Linked DNA regions of Caenorhabditis elegans. The protein of the gene in region 1 purifies or fractionates together with the protein of each later gene. This does not show direct contact. Each region holds a gene or a part of one and is shown on either strand. Other genes may lie near its edges. The genes, in order: ran-2 and selt-1.1.

What was found.
Region 2: the proteins of ran-2 (region 1) and selt-1.1 fractionate together in Caenorhabditis elegans (co-fractionation; one large-scale study listed by BioGRID). This does not show direct contact.

What each region holds. Positions count from the first base shown.
Region 1 is NC_003281.10:7,926,780-7,944,981, forward strand, and holds ran-2 (Ran GTPase-activating protein 2), read left to right. Parts: upstream 1-6,755; 5' UTR 6,756-6,904; coding exon 6,905-7,000; intron 7,001-7,045; coding exon 7,046-7,124; intron 7,125-7,172; coding exon 7,173-7,451; intron 7,452-7,496; coding exon 7,497-7,717; intron 7,718-7,764; coding exon 7,765-8,126; intron 8,127-8,184; coding exon 8,185-8,345; intron 8,346-8,703; coding exon 8,704-9,404; intron 9,405-9,447; coding exon 9,448-10,201; intron 10,202-10,248; coding exon 10,249-10,352; intron 10,353-10,401; coding exon of another isoform or gene 10,402-10,410; coding exon 10,411-10,524; intron 10,525-10,571; coding exon 10,572-10,583; 3' UTR 10,584-10,929; downstream 10,930-18,202. Other genes in the region: C29E4.13 (C2H2-type domain-containing protein), read right to left, coding at 273-389, 438-489, 611-720, 770-850, 897-999, 1,078-1,168, 1,216-1,309, 1,386-1,682; npp-15 (Nuclear pore complex protein 15), read left to right, coding at 2,271-2,355, 2,400-2,512, 2,559-3,170, 3,231-3,549, 3,595-4,220, 4,268-4,572, 4,617-4,775, 4,827-5,683 and 1 more; C29E4.10 (Putative galactocerebrosidase), read left to right, coding at 11,078-11,206, 11,249-11,323, 11,431-11,769, 12,082-12,212, 12,282-12,437, 12,481-12,596, 12,641-12,768, 12,844-13,274 and 3 more; C29E4.12 (Protein FMC1 homolog), read left to right, coding at 14,375-14,592, 14,647-14,755; Condensin-2 complex subunit kle-2, read left to right, coding at 14,944-15,045, 15,120-15,869, 15,919-16,444, 16,778-17,158, 17,209-17,463, 17,558-17,742. UniProt on the Caenorhabditis elegans protein: GTPase system comprising ran-1, ran-2 and ran-3 is essential in nucleocytoplasmic trafficking. Ran-2 is a GTPase activator for the nuclear RAS-related regulatory protein Ran, converting it to the putatively inactive GDP-bound state.
Region 2 is NC_003284.9:11,533,211-11,548,499, forward strand, and holds selt-1.1 (Thioredoxin reductase-like selenoprotein T homolog selt-1.1), read right to left. Parts: upstream 13,286-15,289; coding exon 13,219-13,285; intron 13,176-13,218; coding exon 13,076-13,175; intron 12,879-13,075; coding exon 12,771-12,878; intron 12,719-12,770; coding exon 12,595-12,718; intron 12,545-12,594; coding exon 12,200-12,544; 3' UTR 11,881-12,199; downstream 1-11,880. Other genes in the region: C35C5.8 (Saposin B-type domain-containing protein), read left to right, coding at 1,027-1,177, 1,229-1,277, 1,503-1,611, 1,658-1,797, 1,855-2,008, 2,051-2,152, 2,807-3,009, 3,055-3,157; C35C5.9 (Group-specific protein), read left to right, coding at 3,585-3,594, 3,640-3,723, 3,769-3,797; gcp-2.2 (N-acetylated-alpha-linked acidic dipeptidase 2), read left to right, coding at 4,628-4,696, 4,799-4,943, 5,253-5,680, 5,726-5,858, 5,906-6,042, 6,092-6,203, 6,253-6,340, 6,389-6,570 and 8 more.

The DNA.
Region 1 (18,202 bases):
CCGCCACGTTTGGAATTAGTTATGAGTGGAGGTCACTTTAAACTGGAATTGGTTATTTTGAAAAAGAATTATGGAAATCTCGAAAAAGTTAATAAATTCTTTTTCAGATTTTTTTAAAGTTAATAATGAGAAGTAATTGAAAATTGAATAAAGATTAAAATATGAATAATGAAAATCGAAAATCATTATTTCAAGAATTTCAGTAAGTATAAAAATTCAAATTATGAACTTATTTATCAAAAAAAAAAGGACCCGCAAATACATTAAACAATTTAGACACCTCGTCGATTAATGGATAGATCTTGATGTGGAGTTGTGACAGACATCGGACGAAAGTTTATTGCAATATTTTGAAGTTCAGGGCGAGTCTGTGGAATTTGACAGGAATCCTGAAACAAAATTTTTAGAACACAAGTATGACGTTGTAAATACCTTACCAATGAAATATTTTGATATGTGGGCGTTTGCACTTGTCGTGAGTGTGAAGTTCTGAAGTTTCAAAATTAAAATAATAAAAATCAGCTTACTATCAGAATTAAAAGTTTGATGTTTATCAATAATTCCAGAATGTTTTATGCTAAACTTTTCGGCACTTTTTTTGTAAACTCACAATTTTCTGACTAACACGATTGGCCGTTTGAATTTCAAGTTGGCGAACTTCATAACTTCTACTTCTGCTTCTCTCTCCCATTCGTGAACTCGATCTTTAGTTACCTCTGGCTGCAAAATGTTTTTTAACCTTTTCAATTCTCAAAGATAAAATAAATACTCCATCTCTACATATCAGAAAAATTTGTTTGAATGCTTCTCGGGCGGCTGTCTCTTTTTTGGGATCGTATTCCTTGAATAGCTGAAAATATATAAATTTTTAAAAAAATGTTTATATTGCTCCATACCGTAACTTCATCTTTCGGATGTCTTGTACTCAAATGAAAACGACCTTCTTCTTCAGTGTAAAATCCATCTTTTTTACAATGAAAACAACGGTAGGGGCGATATCTTAATGTTTGAAGTTTTATGAATGCTCAAAAATTTTATTTACATATTTAGTTAAATAATTTGAATTGAAATTCTTACTTTAAATGTGTGCAGAGAACGTGATATTCGAATCCCCTCCAAGTTTTAATAATCGCGTTGCAGTGACAACAATAAGGCAATGCTTTGTGTTCTAAAATGCAAATTTTAAATAGTTGAATTGAAAAAAATTAAACTCACGACTCAAAATATCATCTTTTTCATCCAGATATCGATCGCTCAGGTGTGTTGGATGTGCTTGCATTGTTATTGGAACAACAAAATTCGAACCTGACTAAGAAATGCATTTTTCTTTCGTTTTTTTTAGTGGAGTTGGGGAAAATTTTCATCTCAAACTCAATTTTTCTCACCCTGTGTATAGTCTGCATTCCATTTTTCTTTGCAGATTCCGCGACGGCTACCGTCGTTTCTCGACTTGTCCGTAAACGGTTGTTCCGATGATTTTGTGAGTGGAGGTTATGCGTTTTTTCTGTAAAAAAAGCTTTGCAGAATATTCTTCCATTTTTCATTTTTTCTTTTTTTTTTGAGGGAGAATTCGTTTGAATTGTTTCCTGAAAATTTAATTCCAAGAATTCCAGATTACCGTCGTCAACAGGCTTCCAATTTGACATCGATGCTTGCGATGGATCAATTGTTTTGTTGATCATCTGAAATTGTCAGAAATTATGTTTTTATGAGACAGAAGGAGAGAGAAGGCTTAAAATAACAAAAAAAAACGTTTTATTGAAAAATAATTGAAAAAAAACACTCACTATTCCCTCATTTCCAGATTTTAGGTATCGAAAATCTAATCTATCCTCATTCATCTTTCGCTGGGTTAATATAAACAATAAATTGAGCTTTTAATTTTCTAGTTCATGAGACTGAAAATGGCGAGTGCACAGTTCTGATCGAATAGTGCGCCTGCTAAGAAACGCGCCAACACTGGGTGCTTGACACGCAAAATTGTGGGAATTTGAATTTTAACGAAAATATTTTTCAGTTTTGAACTATTTAATTGATTTAAACAAATATTTTGAACGTTTTTTTGGAAATTGGAAACAAAAACAAAAATATTTCATACCGTGTTTTTAAAGGCGCAGAGTTCCCACATTTTGAAGGGTCTCGCATCGAAATTGAATTCAAAATCTGTTTGTGGCGCGAAACTTTTGTTTCGGAACATGTGAACATTTTCATTTTGCAATTTCTTCTCTTTTCTAAATATCGCCCCCTTTTCTAATCACTGAAATTTCAGAATGTCGGGACGAGATCTCGAACTAACTCTCGATAGAGTATCCAGCATAGAATACCCGGCACTGGTGAAAGAGGCCTTTCTGAATAGTGAGTCGAAAAATGATCAAACAGAAATTTCTCAACTGATTTAGATTGGCACGCTTCAGCTCATCGATCCGAGGTGACTTCAAATTGTGCATCACTCAATGACAGGTACTGCTGGGTTCTGTCTCGAAATCAAATTTTCATTTGGGAGCGGGCGAAGGTGAGATTTAAAAAATAACAATTCTCGAATTAAATTGAACTTTCAGTCGAGCCATCGTGCTATAATCCCCACTCAGCTTCCGTTGCCGACCAGTGGCCTTCCTCGCTCAGTAAAGTGCGTTGTTGTATATGATGGAGTCCACCGTGGTGCAAACAAAACCCCGTGTCCAGGAATTCTCGTTGTCTCACCTGAAGGAGTTCTTCGACATTGGACTTCAATTGAATCTCAAACATACATTGAAGAAGTTTTGGATATCAATAACGAGGTTGCTCTGCGGGTGGAATTGACTGATGAGCCGATCGATGGAAAATCAGCTTCTTTCCTACTGACAACTACATCAGGAACTGTCTATTTTTTGAATGGAAAAGGGCAAGATTCGGCAAAAACGGGTGCATTGGAATGCAATAAAGTAGCTGGTCGAGAAGCACATGGATTCAGAAGACGTCTTTCTTCAATAATGTTCGGAGGAGAATCCAAGGAATCTACGTCACTAATTACGAACAGTTTCCAACATCAATCCAAAGATTTACTGGTTGTAACAGTGTCTCCAGATGTTCTGACAGTTTATAATATGTACACACCATGTGAACTTTGGTCACTGAAAACCAAGGAATTTTTCCAACCAAAGATTGCATCGTTTTTCGAAGCGGACTTGAAGGTTTGCATTTTGCAACTTAAAAATAATAAGTGAATTTCTCAAAATATGAGAATGCTTCAGAGAACTCCACTGAAAGTCCGAGCGAGGTTGATTGATGCAGCAGTCTTCCGAGATGGTCTGATGATTCTAATCGGTGGAACTCATGAAGAGTCTCAATCTGTTCACATGTTCATGGTCTGGATGAGTGCTAACTGGCAAACAGAGCAACCCACCGGAGTAGTTTGGTCAGCAAGAGTTCCAATGAATGAGCATCGCGCCCTTTTTTCGAAGATTGACGATTCGATCTACTCTAATCTGACGTTGTGTATTCCCAAGAATACTGCAGAGTCGAAAAAGGCTGATAGAACAGATGGAATCATTATCATCAATCCCTACTTTGGTACTACATAACAAAATTAATTTAATTTTTGATGATATTTTTCAGCGGTATCTCTATACCTTCCATTCGATTTGGCCAAACCGAAAAAACCGGAAAGTCTATACCGTCATGTTTCCATTCCACCCCGAGATCAACTTCTAGGATATGCAATTTGCTCACAATATGTCTATATTATGATGCTAGAATCCGGTGTCTCTACAATTCGTCTTCTACCACGTGGATTTGCAGACAGCTCGATCTATACACATGAGCAAGTCGTCGTACCATCTCTGTCAGTAGGCACTGATGATTGGCCAATTTTAAGCGAACTCTTGTCTGAAATGGTTGCATCTGGACTTCCGAAGACTCCACTTTATCAATCATTGCATCGGGCTTTCGAGCTTTTCGCAGAAAAACATATGGCAGAGTCGGAAGAGGAATTAAAGGCGATTATCAAAATGCCAGATCAGGAAATTGCTCGTATTGTTTCTCAATTTCTCTACGCAATAATTGATTATTCGGATGCTGCCAACAAAACTGACACTGAACTCCACGCGAAGCGAGTGTTGACATCCAGAATCATGCTTTTCCTGAAGCATATGGGAGTGTATGAAAGAATCATAAGCTCACCCCTGGGAATCAGCAGAGGAGGAATCTTATCGCTACGTGTCGGAGGAACAATGCTGGGAGAAGTAAAAATTTACACTTAGAAAAATAAACTTATTTTCTGAATTTTCAGGTCTCCGAACGTGTCGCTGCATCAACGGCCATATGGACGTGGAAAACTTCAAACGAAACAAATTCTGCAGTTTTCGACGCAATCATCGAGAAAGTTTTGAGAATTCCAGAAGTCCAGGATTTAGGTCTGAAAGATAAAGATGCTCTATTCGGTCGATGTGGACTAGTTCATCATATTCCTGTTGTTGCTGCTCAACAATTGGAAAAAAATGTGATCGGAAAGACGAAATCACACAGATTCGAAGTGTTTCACGCTGTATGTGAACTTCTTTCTGGTATCAAAGAAACTATTATCAGTTGGAGAAAGTATGTTTTGATTTGTTAACAGACTTTAACCATTTGTATGAAAGTTGCAGAACGAAAGTTGCTATTCCTAAGTTCCCTATTTGGTGGACTCTCGAAACTTTTGCATCTTGTTATCGTGATGTTGCTGAAAAGATCATTGAGGAATTGAAAAATGGATCATCTACTGATAGTGAGAGAGCAAGACTTTTGATGTATATTTTGAGGTAAGAAAGGAAATTTTCTGCTTCGAATATTTCCAAATTAATAAATTTTAGCATCTACGATTTCTACCTGTCTGAAAGTGACTCTCAACCAGACAACGACAAAGTTTTGCAAGAAATGATCGCTCTTGGAAAGCCAGCAGACGCTATGGAACTGGCAGAGAAACACAAGGACTTTGGAACGTTAGTCAAAAATTATCTAACGACTGATGTTGGCACTCGGCAGAAGACTTTTGAAAGATACAAGAAGATGTTCGAAAAAGACGATTTCGAGATGTATCTATGTGATTATCTGAAAGAGCATGGACGAAATGATGTACTTTTGCAACAAGGTGGAAGTCGAGTGGATGCTTATTTGGATAACTTCAAAGAATTAAGATATTCAAGAGAAATTGCAAATAAACAGTTCGGAAAGGCGGCCCTCACTTTGATGAGTCTTGCTGATGCAGAAACTAAGAGCTTCTCAAAATTTGTCGAGTTTCTAACAAGAGCATATTATTGTGCATGTTCCAGTATCGATGGAACAGATGTTTCAGAGGTTCTCGACTTCTACAAACGACGATATCCGGAGATGAAGCATCGTAAACGTATTCCGACCGAAATATTGAAAATATGCTTCGGCAACGATTTGGATGCGATGATGTCTGTGGAAGATATGCTCGAATGGAATATGGCTGTCCAGCCGAATGATGAAGCTTCGGTTGAAGGGTTCGCAAGAGCATTCCATTTGTTAGCTGATCTTCTTGCTGTGCATCCGGATTCGGATGAATTGAAAAAGAAAATTGATAAGACGTGGAAAGCATTAGTGGATTATGACGAGTGGAACCGGGTTAGAAGCAAAGAAGATGTGGAGAAAAAGACAATTTTCGGAAAATTCTGCAACTATTTGATCAATTCGTATCCTGCTGACAGTAAGTATCAACAGAAAAAAAAACATGAACAAAAATTCATTTTACAGAAGGTGATTCTTTCCCAATTTGGATGCCAATATCTCGTCGTCTGATCTTCCCAACCGATATCGACACAGTTCTCGATGAATGTATCGCGAATACGACTGGAAATCATCTTTCATGGATCAAAGGTCATCTGAAATGGATTGGAGAGCAACTTTGTAAACAGGCTCTTCTACCAAAATCGGCATTCTTCCGTCCGGATATGAAACAAGTTGGATCGATTTCTCAAGCAGCTCTCGAAGCATTCGGTCCGATTTTACAACGAAGAGAACAACGATTTATTGATCAGTTGAATCGTGATTCGATGATGGAGACTTGATTATTTTATATTCTTCATTTTTTGTTTTGTTTTTTATTTTACCATTTTTCCCGATTTGTATATGATCTCCACGGTTGTTATTATTATTATTTTTCAAGTTTTTTTACCTAACTTATTGATTTTTATACATATCTTTAACGTGATGTTTCCCGTATAAAATCAGAGCTCTTTTTTATCTTAAAGTTTTACTAAAACCGAACATCGTAACTTATTCGATGAAAATTTTACTTATTGTTCTCAAATATATTTTCTCAACGAGTAAGTCGGTCTCGAGCAATCAGGTGTTTCATTTTGTTGTTTTTAAGGTCTCTGTGCCAACTGTTTTTGTGATTGTTTACTCAAAAACTACTAAACTTTAGAAGTAAATTTGTTTCAATTTTGGCAAATCCCCGATATCGAGCCCGATTCCTTTTTTAAACTGAAATTGTTTAGATTTCGCAATCACATAGAAATTATTGAAAAATTCGAAATTTCACGAAAAAATGTAATATGCTCACATTTTCCAAAACTTTATTTCCATGTAATTCAAAGTAACTTTTATTTTTCGGGAAAATTCGAAAGAAATTAATTCTGCGAAATTATTTTGTTTTCGAAAATTATCAGAATCTCAACAAACATGTTCAAAAGATTTTTCTGATTTTCCGAATTTAATTTAGTTTTTAGCAGTGAAATTCAATTAAAAAAACTGGTTATTTTCGTAAAAGTTTTCATAATTGTCATTTTCTTATCATCTTCATTATTATTTCTCTATCTTTTACAACCACTGTGTTCTCTCTTCACTTTCATATTCTTATCTAGTTTCTCGCATCTACTTTTTCCCAATTGTCTCTAAGAAAACAGACAAATTCAATTTAATATTTATGCTACCCCGCCTATTTCTCACTATTTTACCAGTTTGCTCACCCAGTATTTCTAATAAAACTTCAAAAAAATTTCGGGATGCTCATGCCAATCATGTTTGTATCCGCATTATGGAATCTCAAAATGTAAATAATCTTCAGGTATTTTTATTCGAGATGGACCTCAACAATACACTCTCCTTTTTTGGAAAGCAACTAAAACTGGATACCGAGGAAGAAAGTAATAAACGTTTTTTTAAAAACAGTAAACTAAATATACTATTTTCAGTTTCGAAAGTAATTGATCAAATCCGAAAACATCTCAACTTGGAGGTTCTTGACTTTCGTGGTAACACGCTCAGTGTTTTGGCTGGAAAATTAATCGCAGAATCACTGAAAACGCGGAGGGAGTTAAAGGAATGCATATGGAGTGATATGTTCACGGGTCGACTGAAAGATGAAATTCCTCTTGTTCTTGATGCTCTTGGAGAGGCATTGACGGCTTCTGGATGTCGTCTTACTACTCTTGATCTATCGGATAATGCTTTTGGAGCTGGATTGTCAACATGTTTATTCAATAAAGTTTAGATTTAATCTCAACTTTTAATTGCAGCTCTCTACAATTTCCTGCAATCACCAGCCTTGTACTCACTAGAAAACCTTATTCTCAATAATAACGGTCTAGGTTTGGCGGGAAAAACAGTCGGAAAAGCTCTTTGCTCACTCATTGATGCATCGAAAAAAGCTGGAACACCACTGAAATTGAAGAAATTTGTTTGTGGAAGAAATCGCCTGGAAGTTGAATCCACGATTGCCCTCTCTGACGCATTTATTGTAAGATAAATAACTTAAACTCATAATAACTCAAAATTATTTTTTAGAAATTGGGGACACTTGAAGAGATTCGCCTTCCTCAAAATGGAATCCGAGATGACGGAATTATTGCACTTGCTGAAGCTTTTCGGATGAATAAGAAATTAAGAATTATTGACATCAATGATAATTTCTGTTGTCCAGAAGGAGCAATTCAAATTTCTGAAGTTCTTTCGGATCTTCAATTTATCGAAGTTTTGGATCTTGGTGATTGTGTCTGCGATGATCCGGGAGTTCTTGCCATCATAGCAGAACTCGACAAAATAAATCGAGATTGTCTGAAGAAAGTCGTTCTCAGTGGAAACAATATCACTTCTGATGTTATTGATGAGATTGGAGCTTGCTTTAATTCTCCTAAAATGTGCCACGTGTAAGCTTTGCATTTAGTAGGAAATTCAAATGTTCTTGAAACATTAAATAATTTTCAGAAAAGTTGACATTTCTGTGAACATGTTTGGTAAAGATTTCGACAGTGCCAAGGCAAGACACGGAAAAGGAAATATTGACTTTGGTAGAAGAGGTGATGATGAATTGTTATCGTCTGATGAAGAAGAAGAACAAGGTGCAGAAGATGCAAGTATGGAAGAAGGTAATTTTATTTTTCATATTGTTGAAACAATTTTTTCTAAAAAAATAGCGGCAAAAGAGAACTTAAAATAAAAAAAACCTTTTTGAAGTTTACTGAAAGCATTTTTACTAGCTTAGATACCTGTAAAACTCGAGTGTTCATTTTTACAATTTTTTAAAAAATTTTTGAGGTACCTACCTTTTTGAGGTGAGTTCTGTAAGTATTTTGGAAAATCGATTTTTGTTTGAAAAATCTAAATTTTTTCACCAAACTTGATTAAGAATTTTTCGAAATTTCCCGAAAAATTACAATTGTGCCAAATAACAGCCCAGCCCAGCGACTTTTAATGGAAAAATGATTATTAAAAAAATATTTTCAGATGCTTTCAACACATCACGTGAAACCGTGATAGATCGTTCGAATTTACACGAAGCTTCTGCTGATGAAATGATGAATGATCTGATGAACAAAGGTTTCGGATGTATGAAGATTGAAGACAATCAGCAAAACAGCAATGGCAATGGAATGGTTTCTTTCTTGGACAAATCATTAAAGCTTGATACTGCAGAAAGTGCTGAGCCTGTGGTTAAAGTGATTGCAGCTGCAAGTTCTATGAAAGCATTGGAATTAAGAGGAAACACCCTTGGAATTGCGGCAGGAAATGTGATTGCAAAAGCTTTAGAGAGTCATCCAGAGCTCGAGAGATGTCTTTGGAGTGATTTGTTCACTGGACGCCTCAAAAACGAAATTCCACCGATTCTAGAAGCTCTTGGAAAGGCTATGATGACTGCTGGATGTAAGATCAAAGAGCTTGACTTGTCTGACAACGCCTTTGGACCAATTGGAGCTGATGCTCTCAAGGATCTTTTGGAATCACCGTCATCATTCTCTTTGGAAGTCTTGAAGCTTAACAACAATGGATTAGGAATAGGAGGAAAACAAATCGCAAAATCATTGACTGAGTGTCTCAGAAAGTCAATTGCTGTGGGAGGCGAGAATCGATTGAGATTGAAAACATTTATTGCTGGAAGAAATCGTTTGGAAAATCCAGGAGCACATGCACTGGCGGCTACTTTTAAGGTATTTATAGTTAAACACTTTAATTTCTAAAACTTATTTTTAGGCTCTTGAAACGGTTGAATGGTTTGATGTTCGTCAAAATGGAATTCATGAAGAAGGAATTCGTGCTCTGGTGGCTGCATTGAAACACAACAGAAATCTTCGATATCTCTGGCTTGAAGACAATACAGTACTCCCCAAGGGTGCAAAGGCTCTTGCAAAAACTCTGGAATCTTGGCCGAAGTTAGAAGTTTTGAATTTGTCAGACTGTTTGATTCGTGACGCTGGATGCAATTACATTATTGATCACTTGAATCCTCAACATCATCGCCATCTTAAAAATGTTTACCTTTGCGGAAACGAGCTCACACCACCCGTCGCTAAGCTCCTGATTCAAAAATGGTCAAAGTTTGATGGTCTTACACCGAAACCAGTGCTTCATATTCATACCAATTCGTTTGGTGATGAATTCTCTGATGTTGCTGGAATGGCACCGGAAAATGTGAATGTTGGAGATGAAGATGATGATTTGGGAAGTTTGGATGGAGATCAAGAGGAGTACAATAGTAAATCGTCAGATTCGGAAGATGCAGATTTGGATGATGACGATGAAGATGATGATGAGGAAGCGGAGATTCAGATTATCGACAATGGAGAATCACAGTTAAAACTTGCAATGGATCGAATTGATCGTCTGGATATCGACTTTGAAAGCAGATTCCAGGAAGACACTGCACGTGTTATTCTTCAACTTTCAGCACCTCTCAAAAGTTGTAAAATGAGTGAGCCAGCTTTGCAAAGAGCTATTGAAGTTGCAGGTAAGAAATATAAAAATATTTTAATATAACTACTTTCAATTTTTAAGAAAATATCGTCCGCCGAGTGGAGTCTGTCAAGCGTAACCCGATTCCGGCCACAACTCAATTAGTTAACAATATTGTTGCTCAATGTGCAGGAACAGGAGTTAAGGTAGGTATTTTTCAAGCTTATTCTAAAAAACGTTTAATATATGAGACAGACTTTACAGGCTGAAACTGATTGGGGATATGGTGCCGATCCACAAGTGATTTCACGTTTGTTCTCGGAACTTGTTGCTCGCGGCCATTTCAAGTTGGAGCTGGCTCTCCTTCAACGCTTTTTCGTAAGTCTCACAACTATATTTTATGGTTATTTTTTTCAATTTTTCAGCCTTCACAATAATCGAGCTTCTCTACACGATATCCCAGTCTTCGCGATTTTTTTACATGATTTCAGATAAGCCGTGGTTATTTTATATTTGGATCTACAATACATGTATTATTCATCGTATCGTGAACAATATATTTCTTCAACTTCCAATGTATACACGAGTTATCAATTTGTTTTAATTTTGTTTCTCTAATTTCCACTAATTTTTAGTTTAATACTTTAAATCTCTTTCTTGTACGTGTAAATGCTTCAATCCGTTTTTCAAGTAAATTTTTGTGAACGAAGTTGTTTTTATGATTACATGTTTTATGTCTTTGTGAACTTTTTTAATTTTGAGATGAATAAAGCATTTTCTACAGTTCCTGTATCGAAACCTCAAATTCAAAAATAATTTTGAGGGGAAATAACATTTAGTAATACGAAAACAGATATCAAATTTCAAATGAGTAAGTTTATATTAATTCATCATTTTTTGTTTATCAACATCATTCCTTCAATCATCCCCAATGTTTTCAATATTTATAAAAATTATCTTGATTTTACCAAGTATTGCAACTAAAACAAATAATATAGACATAAAATCATGGAGATCTGCTCAAACTTTTGATGGATTTGGTGCAGTCAGTGGTGGAGGGGTAGGATTCAGTCCAATTTCAGAGAAATTACGAAAATTTCAGGCGACTTCTAAACTTTTGTTCACATATTTCTCGGAGAAAAGTGATAGAAAACAAGTTTTAGAGAGCCTTTTCAATGTGAGTTATAGTTTATTTTGCGTCTGTAAATTAGATAAATATAATACAGGAGCTTAAATAAAATTTAAAATTAACCTTTACTCTTCCCATTCTTGAATAATTTCCAGAAAGATAATGGTCTACAACTGCTGAAAGTTGAAATGGGTGGTGACGACCAAAGTACTGAAGGCACCGAATCATCACACGAATCCGAAAAAGGAAAGATTTCAAAAAATAATTATGAATTTCAATTAATAAGTGAAGTTCGTGAAATTAATCCGACAATTCCAATTTGTGTACTTCCATGGGCATTTCCTGGATGGATTGGTAATACGCCATATGATAATGTGACAGAAACTGCAGAATATGTTGTGAATTGGTTGAAAATCGGAAGAGACACCTGGAATTTTGATACATTTTGTGTTGGAGTTTGGAATGAGAGAAATTTCTCAGAGAGCTATGTTAAGGTAGATATAACGAAAACTTTTTCAAATTTTGGTTCGCTAAATCCTACGGGGCACCGTCCATCTGTTTGGAATTTAATGAAATATTCACAAAGTTATACCTTAGAGTTATACCGTAATTCCTACAATTACTCAAATCACATATCAAAACTCTCAAATTAATTCACAAAGCCAGATACATCACGATTACAGTAGGGGTGGCAAAAGAAAGTTCTACACTACAGTATCCTAAGAGTAGCACAAGACATATAAGTTTTTGAAAAACACATCTTACTAACACTGCAATCTAGTGTGATATCAAGTTTTGATATTTAGGAACTTCGAAAAATTCTCAATCTCAATGGTTTCAATGAGACTCTGATTGTGGCTGGTGAAGGATTTCGAATGGATGACAGTTATTCAAGACTTCTTGACAAACGATTTATCAATGAATATGACATTATAGGGTATGAAGAAAACCTTGTTATTTCTTTTTCAGCGTTTCAGAGCACACAAAGTAAATATTTTTGATTCAGAGTTCATTACCCAGGCGGTCGAATTCCTGAAAATGTTCAAAAAAGTGGTAAAGTCATTTGGGCAAGCGAAGATTATAGTACAGACAACAGGGACACCGGGGAAGGATGTATGGCGAGAACTATGAATTGGAATTTTATAAATGGAAATATTACTGGGCAAGTTTTGATTGTGAACACACAAAATATAGTGGAAATTCAGAATGATTTCTTGGCATTTAATGTCTGCGTTTTATCCTCAACTCCCTTGGTATAGATGTGGTCTCGCACGGATTGATGAGAATAAGTTTCAAACTGAAAAAGCTTTTCATGTTCTAAGTATGATAATAATGTGCAAAAAAATTGAATCACGACTATTTCAGAATACATTACTTCTCATGTTAAGCGAGGATGGAAGATTTTAAGAGAAAGTAGTGGTAGATTTGATGGTGGAGGAACATATGTCACTTATACAAATGGAAAAGATTCCACCATTTTTGTAGAAACCATGGTAAGACTTTAATATTAATTATGAGAAATTGCTTCAAATGATTTGAGAATAAACATTTAATTCAAAAAATTTCAGAGTTACAAGAAATCTTTATGCGAATATTCATCTCCACGGCCATACCATGTCAAGCCAAGTCAACTTATTCGATTTAAATTCTCTGAAATTCCATCATTTCAAGGATTAAATATGTCATTAAACTTTGGACCTTCAAAGTTCTTTTCAAAATCTGTCAATTCTACAATTACCATTCTTCTTCCTGTTAATTCATTTGGAATACTCACTACACTTCCAGTTTCAACTCCGAAAAGAGTTACTATAAAAACACCATTGGTTCCTTTGAATTATCACGACGACTTTGAAAATTATGAATTCGACGAGGAGCCAAAGTTTTGGATGCCACAAAAAGGATCATGGGTGGTACGAAATGGACGGGCGGTACAGAAAGTGACACGCCCATCAATTAGTTGGTGCACCTCACACATTCGAACTCCATATGCAGTTATGGCGTAAGAATTGATGACTTTGACCTATGAGGAACTACAGTATACCGTATTCCCTCTAATATTTTTACACCTCTTTTCTCAACTTTGGCAGCTCATATCTCAGTAGTAGTTTGTTCTATAGAAAAGTTGTCAACTGATAAAAATTTAGATAGATGTTTTTTCTGTAGTTTGTAGTTTGTTAATTATTTATATGTCCAAAAAGGAGATATGAGGTGTCAAAGTTGAGCAAAGGGGTGCAAAACTAATAGAGGAAATACGGTATACGGTATTCCTTCCATTTAGGTATCGAAAGAAGAATAGTATTCTAAACGCCGAGGTCAATATTCCAAAACACTCAACAGCTAAATCCATCATTCTAGGTATAAGGAGTAATTGTAGTGGTATGTAATTAGTGTTGTGATTCATATTAAAATCTATTACATTTTCAGGATGTGACATAGAAGTAATAAACTGTCGTGGAATATTTGTTGAGATTGAATTTTCAAATAAAAAAGTAACTATATTTTCCGATTTCGTTGACCGTTCAATAATTGCTGAATTCAAAGCACGAAGAAAAGTAGAATTTGGAAAGTTTTATAAATTCTCAATTCATTTACTGGACTCGCATCTCTTCATAAAATTCGGAAATCATCATGTGATGACTTCAGTGGAAATTCCAGAAGAACAATTAAATAAGGTTATTAAAATAATCAATTGAATTTCAAATATAATGTTTTCAGACAAATAATGACACTTTATTCGTGATTGGCACTGGAAATTTTGGCATCTCCGAATGGGATAATATTTCAACAGATTATTTTCACTGAGGCTGATTAATTACATTCAAAAAGTATTTAATATTGCTTGGGCATGTTTCTATTAAAATAAATGTACCATTTTATAATTTACCACATTATTGGAAAATGTCAAAATCAATTGCCACAAAAAACTAGATTCAAACTTCCGCGCAAATGGTACCGCAACGATGCTCCGCGTTTCGCTAAACAACGCGCGCCTCACGCGCGCAGTTTGAATTGAGAACGTTTTCCTGTTTTCTTTTTTTGTCTGAATTGTGTTATTGTGCTATTTATTATCCCTTTTTTGTACATTTTCAAAATTAAAGTATGGCCTCTGCTGTTGGAAAAGGAGTGACCGCTTTCAACACCATCAAAAACATCATTTCGGAACTGAAAAAGGTCGACAAAACATTCTCCCCGAATTCGGCACAATATAAATACCTCATGGAGCAAATGAAAGCCGACCAGGTTACAACAAGAAGATATTCAAAAGCCGAGAACGAGTCAGAGAGCGTTGCAAAACTCTATTTGAGCTATATTAAAGGGTTCGTTTGTTTTATGAGAATAAGAAAGTAATAATCAATATCCATTCATTTTAGAACCCGACAGCTTAATGAACTTCAAGAGAGATATAAGGGTGGCGAGAAGAGTGTTGAAGAGGCTGCTGCTATTGTTGGATTGAAACTTCCAGAACAAAAGAAACTTTAAAATACTTAAAATTGTTATTTCTTTCTCGAATAGATTAGATTCCTGTTTTCTTTTCAATCAAAATAAAATACTTCGTTTTTAAAATACTATTCAGGTTTTTTATAACTTCCTTATGGTTTTCGTACCATTCTATATCTTTTTTATAGTTAATCATCGCCAGAGCATTGGAATTGTTGTTTCAGGTACAAATGACTAGGAATGCTCCTCCAGGTCAAGAATCGACAGATTTAGCATGGCTCGTCACACCCGCAAAAGATCTTGTCGAGAACTTCTCAATCGACGTGTTGAAAGTAAGGATAATTTTTTTTCACGGTTGTATCTTTTCTTTTTCGGTAAATAAAATAAATAATTGCTCGACTTTCAGGCACTCGCCGGATACCTCGAGGTTATCAGACAAGAAAGTGAAGACACAGATAATCAGGTGGATGCAGCGACAACTTACAGATTGTTCGATTTTCAACGAGCATGCCGGATTATTCAAGGATCGTGTGCCGTATATGGTCGAAAAGTAGATCATGTCTATGAACTGACGATTTCAGTTGTGGATTTAGTCGAGAACAAAGGTCAAGATGATGGAAACACCGGCAGTAGACGAGGAGCTGGAAGACGGAAAAATTTTAATTTGGGATCGACGAATTACGACTTGGCTGATATCGACTCACTGAAACAGGAAGCTCTAGCAAATTTTGAGAAGACAGTAAAAGAAGAGAAAAAATCGATTGATGCAGTGAGAATGGTCGAGAATGCTGAAGTTATAGAGTCTCAATATGAGCGAAAAAGCTGTTTAGTAGCAAAGCCAACCCAGTTCATGTTCAAGCTCAATTACGGCCAGCTCAATCGTACTGATGAACAAATTTTGAATGCAAAATCTCGTCCTGATGTTATCGGAAAAGTAAAAGATTTTGAAATTAAAAAGTCGAAAGTTAAACACGATCAACAAATACTCTACTCCCATGATTGTTATCGTGGAAATTTAGACCAATTCACACTACCTGGTGCTCGTTGGATGCCAGATAATAAGGAATTGGCAGCTAATTTTGGTGTTGCTGATTTGGAAGTTGAGTTAGATTTGGAGCAAGAGCATGAGAAGATCAGTGCATATGGACCGTTTAAGGTAAGTGGTAATAATTCGATGAAACATTTTCAAAACTTGATTTCTTCAGGATCCTCTCTCTGGCCGTGAAGTTGTTCCACCTCCTCGTTGGTTCATAGAGCAAGAAGCAGTTCGTCAAAATCAAGAAATTCAATCTCGTGCCACATCGAGAGCCATCACAATTGCAGCTAAAACTCTTCGAGATTCTCAAGGCTTTGGATCTCAACCAACTCGTCTCTCACAACCATTTGTTGAACGACATCGACAGAGTAATCATTTGAATGATTTCTTGTCATTTGTGGAGGGAAGAGTTAATAAGAATCGCCCGAGCACTCATCTTACCACTGGCTTAGTTGATATGTTCGTTGATAACTTTGGATCTGTTATGCAAAACGATGAACCAAACACTAGTAGAAGACCTGATGAGAATTACGCGCCCATGGACTTTGATGATGATTTTGGTGGTGGAGGAGACGATGACGACGATGATTATATTCGAAATTTGTCCAGAAGGGATGAGAAGCGAGCACCGGCACCATGGGACGAGCTGGATAAAAATCATATTATTTGGTACACGGGAGACGAGAATCTGCCAGGTATTTGTTGAATTAATGGGATTCTTTCGGTATTTTTTAGATTATATATATATATGAGCCGTGGACCGCACCTCCGGCGCGGCCCCCGACTTCTGGAGCTGAAAACCAATTTTTCTGAAACTACCGTAATCATACAGTACTCCTACCGTAATCATACAGTACTCCTACCGTACCACCATTGTACCACTACAGTACCCCGACTATATCCCTACACTAACCCCAACTCACTATCCCTCCAGAAGCTAAAACTTCGCAGACTACAAAGACTACATAGACTACAAGCTATGGACAAACGGAATAAGCGCTTTATATATAGTAAATGATATATTTCAGTCGTTAGCAAGCCGGTAAAAAAGATCACGAAATTCCAACCAAAACCCGCTGAAATGTTGGCTAGGAAGCAACGACGTGAGGAAAAGATCAATAAGTCTCGACGAGACGAGTTCATGGAAACTCACGACTATCTGCAGGATTACTACTATTGGAGAAGTGCGGCTCGTATAAATCCGATTAAGGACTGGAAGATAGAATCACTTCGTACTGCTATTCTAGCCGAGAAGAAACGAAGAATCAAGGAAAAGACTGCAAAAATCCGAGAAGCTCGTATCCAGAATATGCAGAGAAAACGGACAGCTCGTGTGATACCCGTGGAGCAATTTGAACCGGTAACAGAGGATATTCCAACGTCTAATAGAAGAACCCTCGGAGCTGAATGTAAGAAATTTCAATTTTATGAAATTTAAACTGAATTATATTTTTTCCAGATGACGACGTAGTCGATGAAGATCTTGCTGCCGAAGTCGAGCTCTCAATGTTTGGAGGTGGGTTCGATGACGACGAAGAAGACGTGCGGCCACGTGGTGAACGGCCTCCTATGGCTCCAAACAACCTAGAATTCGATGCTCTTCAAACAGATTTTGATATTCCGCCTGCTGAATATGTTCCATTAAGATTCGAGGATATTGATGATGCCGAACTGAACAGTGTTATCAATTTACCTGGAAATTTGCTCATCGACAGTAAGTTATTTGCAAAATTTTATAATAAAATTTTAAAATTAATACTTTGAAATTGTACTCTCTCAAGTCTATCAAGTAAATTTTCTATTTACAGAAGCTTTACCATTGCTCAAGAAGTTTGCTGAAAATCGAACAGATCGCGAACAAATGGCTTACGAGATGGCTAAAGCATATGAAGATGTGGATGTTGCCGTGTCAACTCTACAAGAACATGTTGACAAATGGCATTCTCGAATGGAACCAATCCTCGAAGAAGGAGAAACTCGAAAAGAGTATGATGTATGTTTTAGAGTATTTAATCTTAAAGGTGGAGTAGTGCCAGTGGGGATTTTGTCTAAATACACTTATAGTGATTCAAAACAACCGAATATCATAATAAAACACTCCAAAAAGTTTTAGATTTTTCATAATTTCCGGTCAAAGTTTTGGCAAATTGCCAAAATTTTGAAAAATATGAGCTTTTGAGGTTATTTAAAGAAATGTCGTATGTTTCGACCCCTACAATGTTTTAATACAATTAATTTAAACAAAATTAAAACAATAAAAAATGTAATAAATTTTTTTGGTCGACTTCCAAACATATGAGTGGCAAAAACTGAGTAATTGCCAGTTTTTGACAGTAAATAAAAAAATTTTCAAAAGTTTTATCATGATATTTGGTCATTTTGGAACCAAAGGAGTGGTTTTTAACAATTTCCCCACTGGCGCTACTCCACCTTTAATATTCTGGTCAACCACA
Region 2 (15,289 bases), on another chromosome or scaffold:
TACACCATACTCTCATATTCCCAGTTTAGTAATTTCGATACTACTTTGATAATTATATCAAAAAATTTCTTTCATATTAATTTTTTTTGCTCAAGCTCGGTTTTATTAAATTGTAAATTTTACTTGTAATTCATGTATCTATTTATTTGTTGTTCGTTGTTTTCAAACACTCTCCATGCATTTTTTCTTGTTATTTGTAATTTACAAAATCTTTCAATTTAATAAATGTTAAAAATTATTTTTCGAAGAAATTCGAGGGAACAATTGTTTGATATATAATATGTACCTCAAAATATTATTAGTTAATGTTTTTATTAGTTAATTATTAGTTAAATCAAGTTTTTTGTTTTCACATCATCAACAAGCCTTTTCTTCGTTAAAAACCCGAAAAATGTATTTTTTTTGTTTTCAAGTTAGTTTTGCCAGTTCAAACAGTTATTTAATGTTGAGAACAAGTATTCTGCAACTTCTGAAGACTACATTTTATGCTTGGTAATCACATGTTGGCAGTACAATTGCGCTAGTGATCTCAATAATCTTGAACGTTCTCTGATCAAGTACCAAAGAAATCAACTCTTATCGATGAAATATTAAAGGTTACCAATAATAACTGAACTTGTGTTTTACGAAACTAAATCAGAATGTAGTTGACGTCACCGTTCGTGCAAGTATCAAACAATCATGACGCGTTGTCGTTGATCGGCCAATGACTACTTTCAACGTTTCTTCTACTATTTTCAATCAGATTTGTATCAGTGGTTTTAACGCTTTGCGCGTCTTCGAAAGACGTGATAAATGATTTGGACAGTATCTCTTACCGACTGCTGCTGACTGACTGCCCACAACGTTGGAGTGTCAAAATTATAAAAGTGTATGGACAAGACCATTTTTTAATCAGCCGGCAAACATTCAAAAATAACTCGTACTGCTGCAAAAGCTAAACTGATACTATTATTATATATTGACTTGCTTTGTTGACTTGTCAATTTATATTTTCTCCTATCTCTTGTTTTGGCTTCTCTGTGAATGACTACTCAAAATAATGTCATTGCTCTACGATTTTTATTATCTTGTTTTCTTTTATTTATTATTTGTGACTCTAAAATAACACAAAGCATAGTTTATGATCGTCTTCCCAAAGAGCTTCTTGGAGAAGCACGAAAGTTTGGAGCAAAAGGTGAGAATAGTTTTCAAAAATTTTGTAAAAATTAAACATTGATGGTTTCAGCTTACAAAGATTTTTTGTATGCTACGGAAAACGCTACAGCTCGTGAGCGGTAAGTTAGTTTTCACGATGTCTATTTCCACTTTAATAATTTCACTATTATCTTTGTTCTCAAAATCCAAAAGTTCAAATTAGTGAAGTATTTTTTCATCCAAATCTATCACTTTTAGTCCAACAATGTGATTACCACATGATAGTTCTGTGAAGCCTCTGCGCGAATTGCTTATCAAGATCACCAGAACCATTTGAACCAAAAATGAAATGAACGATTTTACAGCATCAATGTTTATGAAGACTATTTCATGGAGTGTAACACTCTTGGTCATGAAAGAGCGGAGAGAGTATTTCAAAATGTATACAACATTAAACTTACAAAGGATATGAAGGTAAGCCACTACTAGACAGCACACTGAAGAAATTAAAAAATTCCAGCTTTTGCTGACCTTAGGATTCAACTCATTTGCTGCACGATTTGTCTCAATGGAAGCGGGAGAGTTCAAAGAAGGATTGAGACAGCTTTGTGAGAAGTATGAAATGCAGCTTCAGTGTCAATATGGATTTGGTGAATCCAGGTTAGTATTTGGTTCTACGAACACTATTATGTTATTCCTCATATTTCGTAATTTCAGAACCGCAATTTACTGGCGACTGGATGATTTGAAAAACACAGATGGAAACCTGCGTATCTTACTTGATCGTCAATGCCCAGAACCGGAAATTGATAATACTGTTTACCATTGCTTCTCAGCTGGTGTGGAAGAATATACGAAACCTTGCTTTGAGGTAATTAAATGTTTTCCAGAAAGTAAAAATGAGAATTTTCAGGAGATGCTAGCATACAACTATACACGGTACTCAGCTGGCAGACGAATTGCAAGAACACATATCAGAGCTACAAAAGAAGTTGCTGAGTTGACTGCAAACAAGGTAAAAATCTTTTTCAAATTAACTTCATAAAAACCACATAACCAAAATGTTTTTTTTTGTAATTGTAAAAGTTTTTTGAAGGCATAACTTTAAAACTATTATACAAACCTTAGTCAGAAAAAATTAATAAAAAATACTTCATATAACATTTTCTATTGTTTCATTTTAATCTATTTGTTCTAAAATTGCTGGGAATTACGTGAACAAAGCTAAAACAACGGAATTAAAACTCAAGTGAAACTTTTTTTTGAGAATTGTGCAAAAAAAGATTATCTCGATTTCACTAGCAAAGTGTAAATTATGAACAAAAATCACATTAAAATTATTTTTTCTTTAAAACTTTTTTCATGGAAACGTTTTGTTCTTGCGCACGGCGATTCAGTAGAAACCATCAAACATGGACTCGTGAGATGTTAACTGCTGTATCTGCAGTAATGATTGTGCTGAGCTTTTTTACGAATTGTCATCACACAAGCCTAATTTCAGGCAACCATTTGTTAGTTGAATTGTTTTTTCTAAACTTTGTAGTTTAAGAGTTATGAGCTCTCGAAAAACTTTAAAAATCTATCTTAAAAAATAACTTTTGTTCATCGACGTGGTTACATCAAAAAACTAATTCGACTTCTCTTCGTAGACTTATCAAACAGTTTGTAGGATTTGGAGAACGACGATGATCAGTTTCTTACAATGAAAGAGCATGTTCAATCGGTTTTTGGGAAAGCGCTCCGAACAATTGCTGAGATAGAAGGAGAAAAATGTGATGCGTTGGACAAAGTTTTGAAATGTGTATTGCCACGTGTTGAAGAAAAATGTGGTCGAGAAGCAGTGACAATAATGGAATCAAGTATTCTTGTCGGGTATTAACCTCAGAAATAAAATATCCGTTCAAAAAACATTTTCAGCTACTTATCAACGCAGCGACGAGAACCGTTGGCTTCTCAGTTTAAAGGATTCAATGTAGAAACAAGCAAGAAATGCTTGAAACTTCATGAGCACATTGAATAGTTCAAATGCAACATTTTATAACTCTGTTCTCATTTTGAACTCAAACGTTGACGATTGTAATGGAATAATATTTGGTTTCAACCTATTGAATTTGCCTCTTCTTCTGTTCCCTCATCCATGATCAAATGACTTGTAGTGTCTGTACATACATCAAAACTGTTTGTGAAAAAATAAAAGTAAATAAATACCATGACATCGATGATGAACTTCCGTTTTTCACCAATTCCCTACCACATCTATTGATTCCCTGCGTATCAAATTGCGCATGTGACAGCAATTTTGAAAAAAAGGTAGGTACGCATTGTGACATAACAGGAGACGACTTCGGGCAACACCCACATTCTTTGTCTCACTTTCAGTCATTTCTTGGTTGATTTCTATTTACCGTTGGCAGAAGAATCGTGTTATTTTCAAATTTTAACTGAACATGTCGATTGGTGAGCGTTTTTTTTTAACATTTTAGATTAAAAAACATATCTTAGAACATGACGTTAAACGAGATGTGAAGCGCGTTGCAACTGACATCAAGCACACCATTCGCCCTCCATGGTACAGACGAGCTTGGAGTAAGTGATTTTTGAAGTTTTTTACAATTTACCCTATTTTTTCAGACCGCGTCCGAAGAATTTTCAAGAGATAATTTTCATTTCTATGATTGTCCGTTTTTGTTCGTTATGCATAATGTTTTGACTCCTTTCATTACAGTTTGACACATTTGTAAACGTTTATAATCTTCAATAAACAACATAAGATTTTTTTTTTGTAAAACCTAACTTATAATCTGACATTTTACGCTTAAATCAGGTTTTTTTATTTACGGTAAATAGAAAGTTTTTTCAACAAACTAAACTTGAAGGGGGTTTTTTTTGCATCATAAGAAATGGTTCTATACTTCATCTTGGACTTTGATATGAAATAGTAATTTTTCGATTAAAGAGTGTTACTGTTAGTAACTGCAACCGCTTTCGTTGCAGCAGAGAAGGTTCAGCCATGAATGATGTTTTGAAATATCAAAACTAAATTCAATGGGAATCCATGATCTCACCAAATAATAACACTCTGAACCTTCCAGTTTGATTATTTTTCAGTATTCTATAAAATACTTTTTTTATTTCATTTCAAACATTCAGTCGAATAATTGAGCCTGATTTTCAAATGATCCATTATCCCCGAGTTTAAGCAGTTTTGAGTTGTTAAAGTCTTGATTATTAATCAATAAAAACAAAGTTGTATTCGATCTTTGTTTAATGTATCTTTCGTGCTCAGATTTTATTAGGACATATCATATATGAGTTTTTATATTTGAAAAAAACCAATCAGTCACACACAATTTTCCATCGTCGTTTATACTTTTATGGGCGTTGAAACGACAACCCACATTTTCCCAAAAAATTTTCTTCCTTGACTACTCTGAATATATTTCTATTAAATTCATTTTTGTAAAATTTGATCCTAATTTAAGTGTAGAAAATGATAACAGCTCGGAACCGGTTTACACAAGGTTGTAGTTGTATGAAGTATTATAACAATAATGGAGACGTAAGTCAAAATCGTTCATTGTAAACCAGAACAGGCAATTCAAACATTGAATATCACAAAATAAATATGAAGGAATGTCATTTAAAGCATACATTTTTACAGAAAGTATTCCAAAAGTCTAAAAGAAATAGAGGAATGAAAGCTAGCGGTGTGGTTCTTGTTGCAGTTTCTACTGTTGCTTTGACTATTATTTTATCTAATGCGATACATCAATCTTACAAATCAAATTCAAAGCCTCTTCCTAAATGTAAGTAAAAAATAAGCTTGATTTAGTGAAATAGTGATAACACTCGGATTTCTACCTTTTTCTCTATTAGATTTTTTGTTTTATAAGCTAATTAAAATTTGATCAAAAATTATATATTGAACAATTAGTAAAGGAGAAACAGAGAAATAGCTCTTACAAATTGTATAATATTATATATAATTAATTAATTGATTGTATTAATAATTCATTCTATTGTATGTTTTTTAAAACGCTAGATACAACTCTGAGTAGTTGTTGACACATTAAAACAAATCAATTTTCATTCTTATTTCGAAAACTATATTCTAGTATCAATTGCAACAAATATCAAACAACTAATCAACGTTGACAACATTCGCTCCAATCTTCATTCGCTTACTAAAAAACCTCATGTGGCCGGAACAGAAAATAATTTACGAGTGGCTGAAATGATTCGAGATCAGATGATCACTCAAGGACTCGAAAATGTGCATTTCAATGAGTACAATGTAATGTTATCATATCCGAATTGGACAACTCCCAACATTATTGAAATACTGAAAGAAAATAGAGATTTGGTTTTTAGTACAACTGGACGGAGTGTTTCAGTTATTAAAGAAGAACAAAATGATCCACTGGCTGAAATTCAGTGGCTCGCGTATTCAGCAGCAGGCACAGTCGAAGGAGATATAGTATATGTGAACAACGCTAATCCAAGCGATATTGAATATTTAGAGTCGTTAGGAATTGATCTCAAGGTACATACAAATGTAATTTGAAAATTGGTAAGTTTATGTTTTTAGGATAAAATATTTCTGGCAAGGTATAGTTCTAATTACCGAGGGAATATTGCCCAAATGGCTGTAAAGAAAGGTGCAAAAGCATGTCTTGTTTATTCGGATCCAAAACAGGTAGCCAGTTTGGGAACAGGGCCAAGTGAGCTGTAAAAATATTATTTAAATTTATCCTATTTTTATTTTTAGATGAAACTTATGGAAACACAGACAAAATGCCGTCAAATACAGTCCAGATGGGATCAGTCTACATTGGCCTAGGTGATCCACGAACACCTGCGTTCCCATCAATCGGAGATCTTTTCAAAGAGAAAACTGAACAAGATGTAGTTTTATTTGTTCAACACTTGGGAAAAACTGAAATAAAAATTACAGTTGTTAGATGAAAAGAAAATACCTACCATTCCCATGCTCCCAATTACATATGCCACAGCACAAATATTATTTGAGAATATGAAAGGCGATGCAGTGAATGCAGATTTTCAAGGTTTCAAAGTGAAACTGTATATTTGTACAATACCAGCGTTTACATTTAGGAAAGTTAAATGTTACATATCGTTATGGACCTGGCTTGATAAACAATCAGAAACTTCGTGTTACCGTTCATGCTGAAAACGAAGAACGGTCAGTTATAGTTGTAGAATTGATAAGTAGATTGCGTTTGAATTTTAGAAAAATTCAAAATATAATGGGATATATCAAAGGAAGTCAGGAACCGGACAAGTTTGTTCTAGTGAGCAATCATTATGATGCTTGGACTTATGGGGCTGTTGATCCAAACAGTGGAACATCTACGCTTTTAGAAGTTTCCAGAGCGTTGAAACAATATCAAAATCAAACCGGCTGGATACCAGGTATTTTAAAAATGTTTCATCGCATCATTTCACTTGCTTTATTTGAGAAAAAATATGAACTAGAAACTCAGGCGATGTGAACAGACATGGTTTTTTAAGAGATATAATGTACATGAAACAGGGTGAGGATAAAATATGAATGATGTATAAAAACTTGTTGAGACATTGAAATAGCTTACTTTTTCTTTTTATTCAGAGAAGTAGAAACAATATATAATAAATTTTTAGCGCGATCAATTCTGTTCGCTCATTGGGATGCCGAGGAATATGGTCTGATAGGATCCACTGAGTTTGCGGAAGAATACCGTCTTCAATTAATGAGAAGAGCAGTTGCAGTTATTAATATGGATCTTATTGGTGGCAACCAGACTTTGTTAGCTCCGAGTATTGACTGAGTGGAAATTAAGATTTTGCAGACTTGGGTTATCGAATCCTACCGTCGCCAATGTTCTCCGGTCTGCAGCGGCAAATGTTGAGCAGCCAAATCCGACAGAAATGGAACAAGGGAGAAAAACACTATACGATTCCTGGTAATAAAAAATTTTGAATTGCATAACTAATAGTTTTAAGGAAATACTATGCGCCATCAAAGAACAATCGATCAACCCATCCTTATCAAAGAATCCCCGCTGGTGGAAGTGATCATCTTCCATTTTTTGATTATCTTGGTACGTTAGTTCATAAAACGACACATCGAAATCATTTACTATTGTTTAACTTACAGGAATCCCAATTGTCTTTTTCATCACTTCATCCCTAGATGCACCTCCAACTTATCCACTGTATCATACAATTTATGAAACACCATATCTGATTGAAAATATTATGGATCCTGGCTACAAGGTACAATGCAGTTTGAGACATTCATTGTAGGCTAAATATATCATTGCCGTTGTTGATAAACAAATTTTTGATTTTAAACAAAAAATTACAGGTTCATAAAGCCATTGCCGGGATGTTTATAGAATGCATTTTGAAGTTTACCGAGAGTAAAATCCTTCCTTATGAGTAAGAAAAATGTGTTTTGCAGCACTGAACATGTTGAAAATTTCAGTCTGAATGAACTTATGGATGACTCGATCTTTGAATATTTGCCAAAACTAGAAGATCGTCTAAATAAAACGTTAATGATTGGAACTAAGACTGATTATTTGCTGGATGCACAGAAACAGTTCAAACTGTTACAAAAAACAGTTTTGGTTTGTTTGAAATGCTTCCCAAACCAAACAAATATTATTTCAGGAACTTTCTGAGATCGTACAAAGAAGAAATGTCTCGAAACTTGAAGAGCTACCATTCGGCAGTAGAGTGGACATAAATAATCGGCTTATCGAGTAATGCAAATTGGAAAATAATTTTCGATTTTCAAAACTTTCAGATTTGAAAAATGTTTTATAAACCCACATGGGGCAATTGGAAATCCTCAAGCTCGACATGTATTGTTTCATCCAAGCCCTGATAATTGGTATGATGGAGATGCAATTTCACAAGTTCACGATTTGATATCAAAAATTAGCAATTCGACAGACAGCAAGGAGTTGGGAAAATTGTCGAGACAACTAGCAAAAGAAATTGCTCTAGTTAATGTTGCTTACATATGTGCCAAACATTCCCTCGGCGAATTTTTCACAATGTGATCACGTTTGATAGACTCTCAGAGTAATAATTATTTAAATGTCAACTTTTTAAAGTGTAAGGTGGAGTAGTGCAAGTGGGGAAAGTGTTTAAATGGTGAAAATGACCAAAAATAATTGCAAAACATTACAACAAAATTTTGGAATGTTTTTATTTACTGCAAAAAAATGATACCTACTCAGTTTTTGCCAGTGCGACATAAGTCTGGATTTGCTTGAAAGCTTACAGTTACAGAAATTTTTTAAAAACTCTTGAATTTTGGAGTGTTTTATTGCGATATTCAGACAAAATCCCCACTGGCGATGTTTACTATTTAACCAATAAATGTATTTTGAATACAGTAACGTTGAGAAAACTTGACATTAAAAAAACTCACAGAAAATTTCGAATTAGTTTTTCATTTGACCCGTTCGAATGTACATTCGTTCAAATTTCAACCAACACATTCCAACGGAAGTTTGATGCCTGTTCAAAAATCATGGACAGATTATTTTTTTAATCAGGAACGAGAGCATGTCGAACACATCTAACGCCGAAAACTAGTTTTTATCAGGAACTTCTGAATTAAATCCCTAAAATAATGTATTCTTACGAATAAATAATGAAACTATTTTTTAAACTCGTCGACTTTGCCAGTAATATTTGCATTTTATCAAAGCATATAAATATAACCTGGTAAACGAATCACTTTTCTATGATATAACGTTTTTCAAAAATCGAACATGAAAAAAGGATTACAAATATTCGGCGTTGTATTACTTCTAGCAGCGACAGTTGTTGTAACTGTACTCATTTCAAATTATGTACATCAGCTTTCAATGTCGAGTGGGACACCTACAATACAAAATACAGGTAAATTGAAGAGAGAAAAAAGTTTCCTATGGTTCTATCTGACTGCAAATGATTTATGAGACCACTTTGAAAAGTTTTTGAAGAGTTAATTGTATAGTATTTCAGTTTCAATCGCAAATAATATCAGACAGCTTATTAACACTGACAAAATTCGCTCCAATCTTCATTCGCTCACTAAAAAAGCTCATGTGGCCGGAACAGAAAACAACTTGCGAGTGGCTGAAATTATTCGAGATCAAATGATCTCTCAAGGTCTCGAAAATGTTCATTTTAACGAGTATAATGTGTTGCTATCATACCCTGATTGGACGACTCCCAACATTGTTGAAATACTCGAAGAAAATGGAGATGTATTTTATAAAACTACGGGACGGAGCATATCTATTATTGAAGAAGAACAGAATGATTTGGTTTCTGAAATACAATGGCTTGCATATTCGGCTGATGGAACAGTTGAAGGAGATATTGTTTATGTCAACAAAGGTACTCCAAAGGATATCGAGCATATAGAATCGTTGGGGATAGATCTGAAGGTTTATTCCTAGTATAAAAAGTATTAATACAGCAGAAAACTTTTTAGGACAAAATTGTTCTCGCTAGATACAGTTCTAACTTCCGTGGTAACATAGCTCAAATGGCCGTCAAAAAAGGAGCAAAAGCATGTCTTCTCTACTCAGACCCTATGCAAGTAGCAAGTCTTGGAACCGGACCAAGTGAGTTTTTCAAAATAATACAAGCAAACTTCAATCCGTTTTTTGTAATAGATAGTACATATGGAAGAACAGATAAGATGCCATCACATGCCGTTCAAAGAGGCACATGCTATGTTCAATCAGGAGACCCCAGATTGCCGGCATTCCCTTCTATAAAAAATCTCTTCAAAGAAAAATCAGAGCAAGAGGTTTTACAGATATTTAAATTATAAAAACGTAGTATTTTTCCAGTTGTTGGATGGAAAAAAGATCCCAACTATTCACTACTTCCAATTCCATATAGCGCAGCGCAAATTTTATTCGAAAAAATGAAAGGAGACGCCGTCATTGCAGATTTTCAAGGTTGTTTGAAATCTACATTTCCACCGAAATTACAAGTTACTTTTTTAGGAAAACTTGACGTCACATACCGATATGGTCCGGGACTGATAAATAATCAGAAACTTAGAGTAACTGTGCACGCTAAAAATGAGGAACGGTTTGTTTTTTATTAACTGGGCAGTTTTCGGATTTTATTTTAATCCTTAGAAAAATTCAAAACGTTCTTGGATATATAAAGGGAAGCCAAGAGCCGGATAAGTTTGTGCTAGTGGGAAATCATTATGATGCTTGGACGTACGGAGCAGTAGATCCAAACAGTGTCACATCGACCCTCTTGGAAGTAACCAGAGCATTAAAAGCATATCAAAATCTTACAGGATGGAGACCAGGTATTTTCAAACACTAAACAAGTTATGTATAATAGGATTTCGAATCACTTCCGTTATTAGAAAACATTTCAATATGTACACCCACGTGTTTAATATTATAACAGTTACTTTCACTCTTGTCCTGAAAATGGGTTTTTTAACGAGATCAATTCTGTTCGCTCATTGGGATGCTGAGGAATATGGTCTGATTGGGTCCACAGAGTTTGCAGAGGAGCATCGTACTCAGTTAATGAGAAGAGCTGTTGCATATATAAATACGGATATGATTGGAGGAAACCAGTCATTGTAAGTAGTGAAGTTAAAAAAGTATAATCTGAAACTTTGCTTTATCAGACTTGCTATGGCTAATCCTACAGTTGTTAATGTTCTTCGTGCAGCTGCAGCAAAAATTTCACATCCAAATCCGTTAGAAATAGAAAACGGAAGAGAGACACTATATGATTCTTGGTAGTAAAAAGTATGAAGAACAAACAATTATAATTGAATTCAGGAAAACATTTCTCCCTCACAAAACAATAATTCCTCACATCCATTTTACCAGCTTCCAGCAGGTGGCAGTGATCATTTGTCTTTCTTTAATTATTTGGGTTAGATTTTCAAAAAACCGAAATTTACAGAAAAACTAGTTCATGCAGGTATTCCGATGGTTTTCTTTGTCACATCATCATTGGACAGCCCGCCTGTTTATCCCCTCATATCATACAATTTACGAAACACCCTATTTGATAGACAATATTCTTGATCCAGAGTACAAGGCAATAAAATCCCAGAGTAAACCTCGACAATTATCATTTTTCAGATGCATAAAGCTATGGGCGAGATGTTAATTGAGTGCATTTTAAACTTTTCGGAAAGCAGAATTCTTCCTTATGAGTAAGCACTGCAATTTGCGTTTTCTACCAAGTAGAAATAATTTCAGCTTAAAAGAGTTAATGGACAGAGTTCTTGATGAGTATTTCCCGAGAATACAACAACACATTAATAAGGCTCAGACTTTTGAAAACATTTCTGAGTACTTGACTGAGCCCCAGAAACAGTTTGAACTGTTAGAAAAGACAGCAAAGGTATGCATGCTTATGAAAACTTCAATTTTCACATATTAGATTTTTCAGATTTGAAAAATGTTTCATAAACCCGCATGGTATCCTTGGAGATCCGCAGAGTCGTCATGTGCTCTTCCGCCCGAGTGCGGACAACTGGTATCGTGGAAACGCAATCTCTCAAGTACACAGCTTGATATCAAAAATGGAAACTTCAGTAGACGACGAAGAACTCTTAAAATATTCTAAGCAATTATCCAAGGAGATTGCTTTTGTAAATGTTGCATTCATTTGCGCGAAACATTCCTTAAACGAATTTTTTACTTTGTGATTTGTTTTTAAATAAACAAAACTAATACTCTAGTAAAAAATATTATTTCTGAAAAATTTCAAATGAAAAAACTGGTTTCAAAAATTTGATTCCTTAATGGTAAATAATTATTTAAAAAAAAACAAAACGTAACATTATTTGAATAGAAAATCATTAGAGGTGAAATAAAAGTGGCGAGAATTTTTATGACTGCAAATAATTTACACACGTTGAGAAACAAATAAAAAGTTAATTTAACTTAATAAAATAAGGCGTCGGATGACGAGTGAGGGAATGAATCAGTTTGAGCAGCAAGAATACATTGTAAATAATTATGGTAACACGGTGTCAAATTGAAAACATAGCGTTTTAGACAGTCTGTTGGAACTCTCCAAATGATTCTGTGTTGACAGGAGCTTTTCCGAGCACCGCAAGTTGAGCATCGATAAGTTGCATGAATTCCTGAGGGGATGGTACACGACCTGACTCGATTTTACTCCAGATTTGTTCATTGCCAAGGTAAACTTCGAATGCTCCAGTAGAAATGAGACTTTGTTCAACAAGGTTGCCGAGCATGAACACCAGCATACAGGACGACATCTTGTTTCCGTGTGCGTGCTGCAGAATCTGTGGGTATCCAAGACCAAATCTCTCAAATGGATTTATTCCACCTAGCACCAGCACGAGAACTGCCATTTTGACGAAACTGAGAGCCTAAAAATACATTTTATAAATAATCCAAGTCACTTCAAATTGAACAGTACCTGAGCAACATAAGCTTTCCAAAGAACCGGTGCAAAGTTGGCTCCTTCAATTGGCATATTTGGATACTTTTCTTTGGCAAAAGTGGTGAACTGGTCGAAAGCTTGCTTATAACCACATGAAACACTGAAAAATTATGCATAATTTCTAGTAGAACCTATATATGTATAAATATTACCAGTAGAAAATTCTCAATGTTGGAAGATCCTTGGCGTGGTGGACGGCTGTAGGCTTAACAAATGAGGATTGCTCCCGGACTTCAATATGATCTTCTTCGGTTCCTTGACTGAAAAAATTAAGTTTTGTAGCACTTGTTTGAAAAATTTCAGTTAACCTGTTGGAAACTAATTATCATGAACTTAGAAATTTTATTGAGCACCTTAGAAAGCTTGAAAAATTGAAAACGGTCATGCGTTAGATTTTCACTTTTTTGAAAATAAAATTGATTTTAATTTCACAATTCGACCTTTAAAAAAATAATACCTGAAGCTTTGTGAATCTGTTTCGTCTCCAAATTCTGCTTCAAAATCGTCCTTTTCATGTACGTGGTTCTCATCGTGTGAATGCTCTTCCGCTGAAACAGCTACTTGGGTTGTTTATTTCATTTATGATGTGTCACAACTTACTTCTCAGCACATCACAAACTGACATAAAGAAGAGAACTCCTATGATAAATACCCCAAACCGTGACATCTGAAAAATCAATAATGGCAAAAAAAACATCAAAACACTATAGAGAAGGAAATGAAATTTTTCATCATCTTTTTTGCAACAAAAAAAATTAGATAAAAATGTCAGAGAAGAACACATTTGATGAAGTGTTTTACACTAGAAAAAGCAAAGAAAGCGGACGCGCAGGAGAGTATGATATGACAGAAACACCCTCTCGACACACAAGCGGACAACACAGGGTATTCCAAACGAGCGCGCAGCACCAAGACCACTGCGGAGTCTCAGCGATCAATACTTGACTCGCCCGTAGCAAACGCGCCCCATCACTCGCCAGTGTCTGATGCCTCCGCGCCTCACACACTCTCTCGTTCTCTTTGAACGGTTCTCGGTGTGTGTATGCGTGTGTGTTTGGAGGACGTTGAGTCACCTCATATTCGCACACTCGCATAACCTTTAATTTTATGTGCACAGTCTTCTCTTTCCTTGTTTCTCATTTTAACTCGTTTTTTATTGTTCATTGGATATGATATGGGAGGAGTTGTTTTGATGTGATCAATACGCTACGTTATAGAATTAGTTTCTTTTTGAGATTCTTAATGGATTCTTGGTTTCCGTGAAGGTCAAACAGTCAAACACAAGAAATCGGTTTCCGAGAAAGTGAACTTTGTTGTCGTGCAATTGCAATATCTTATTGAGACTTTTTTACAATGAGTTAATTTCTTATTTTGGTACTTGTGTATTACATACTTTCATTTTAAAATTAATGAAAATGCTCATTGATTTCTCCGTTTAAATTGAACGTGATGTGGAATTTTCCTCGTTTGGCTCAGAAATGCTTATTTTCTAATTGTAAGCTTTAAAATATAAAAAAATTTCCACACTTTTTTATTTTTACAACTTAAAAATTACTTTAAAAATGAGTGCATGTAATACACAAGCAGTGTTTGCAAGTTTAAACTTCCTTTCAAAAAAAAATATGTATATCTTAATAAATGTTTTTCACCCCCAGTGTCTTAGAAAAATGTAATTGACCATTTCTCAAATCTAATGACAAACATCTTGCTTTTGCAATTCATCGTGGATTCTCATTATTTTTGAAAAGCATCTATCTTCTTTTCGTGCTAGCATCTCAATCTCAAAAAGTTACACCACCAACAATACGCATCTCACATTTGCCGAGGTGGAGTGGTGACAAACTAATTGAATCGCATCCGGATTCTTCCACTTCTCACTCCTGAAGGAAAACAAAAAAAAAAGGAACTTGCCCTTCTCATCCATCTTTTCCCCCAACCTAACCCATCTCACCTCAAATGCATTAGTTTTATGGGCTTTTACGACAGATATCAATGACTTGAAGAAGGAGGGGGAGTCACTACGTGTGTATGTGTATGTGTGTGGATGGCCTTTAGACACTAACATCCTCAGATGTTCTAAATTAACCGTCCGTACACTTTGCAATTTCTGGGGTCAGTGCCCACGACGCGTTTCCTCTGGCTCCACAATGACTCATCCGCAGATGTGTGAGGTCTCCCTTTCTCCGAGGTTTTCGTTTTTCAAATGCTCATTTGCATTCAAAACGATTCGTTCTTCACATTTTTCTTTCAATTCTCCAAATTTTCGGTTTTTGTTCCACGCTTTGTCATGTTTCTCTTTCATCACTTTGTTCGCTACCCATTTTAGGATTCTTTCCCCATTATTTTCTATTCTGCGTTTGTATTGTTCTAATGGCTTCATGCCACGTCACGCAACAACATCGTATTTTGCAATGACCCTGGAAAGGGCCTGCTTGGCATGACAGTATTCGGGTGCCAGCAACACCTGTTATCGAAACACTCATTATTTCAACCGATGCCCCCATGAGTCATGGGTATGAAAACGCCCTCTTCTTGAGTATTTCGTTTTGCTTTTTTTAACTTGTCTTCAGAAATACGTTCACCATTAGTGTTATTTCCTAAATTTTCGATTTAAATTTTGTTTCAATTTAGTTAGATTTTTTTTTGCTAATCTTATATTTGTAAAAACCTT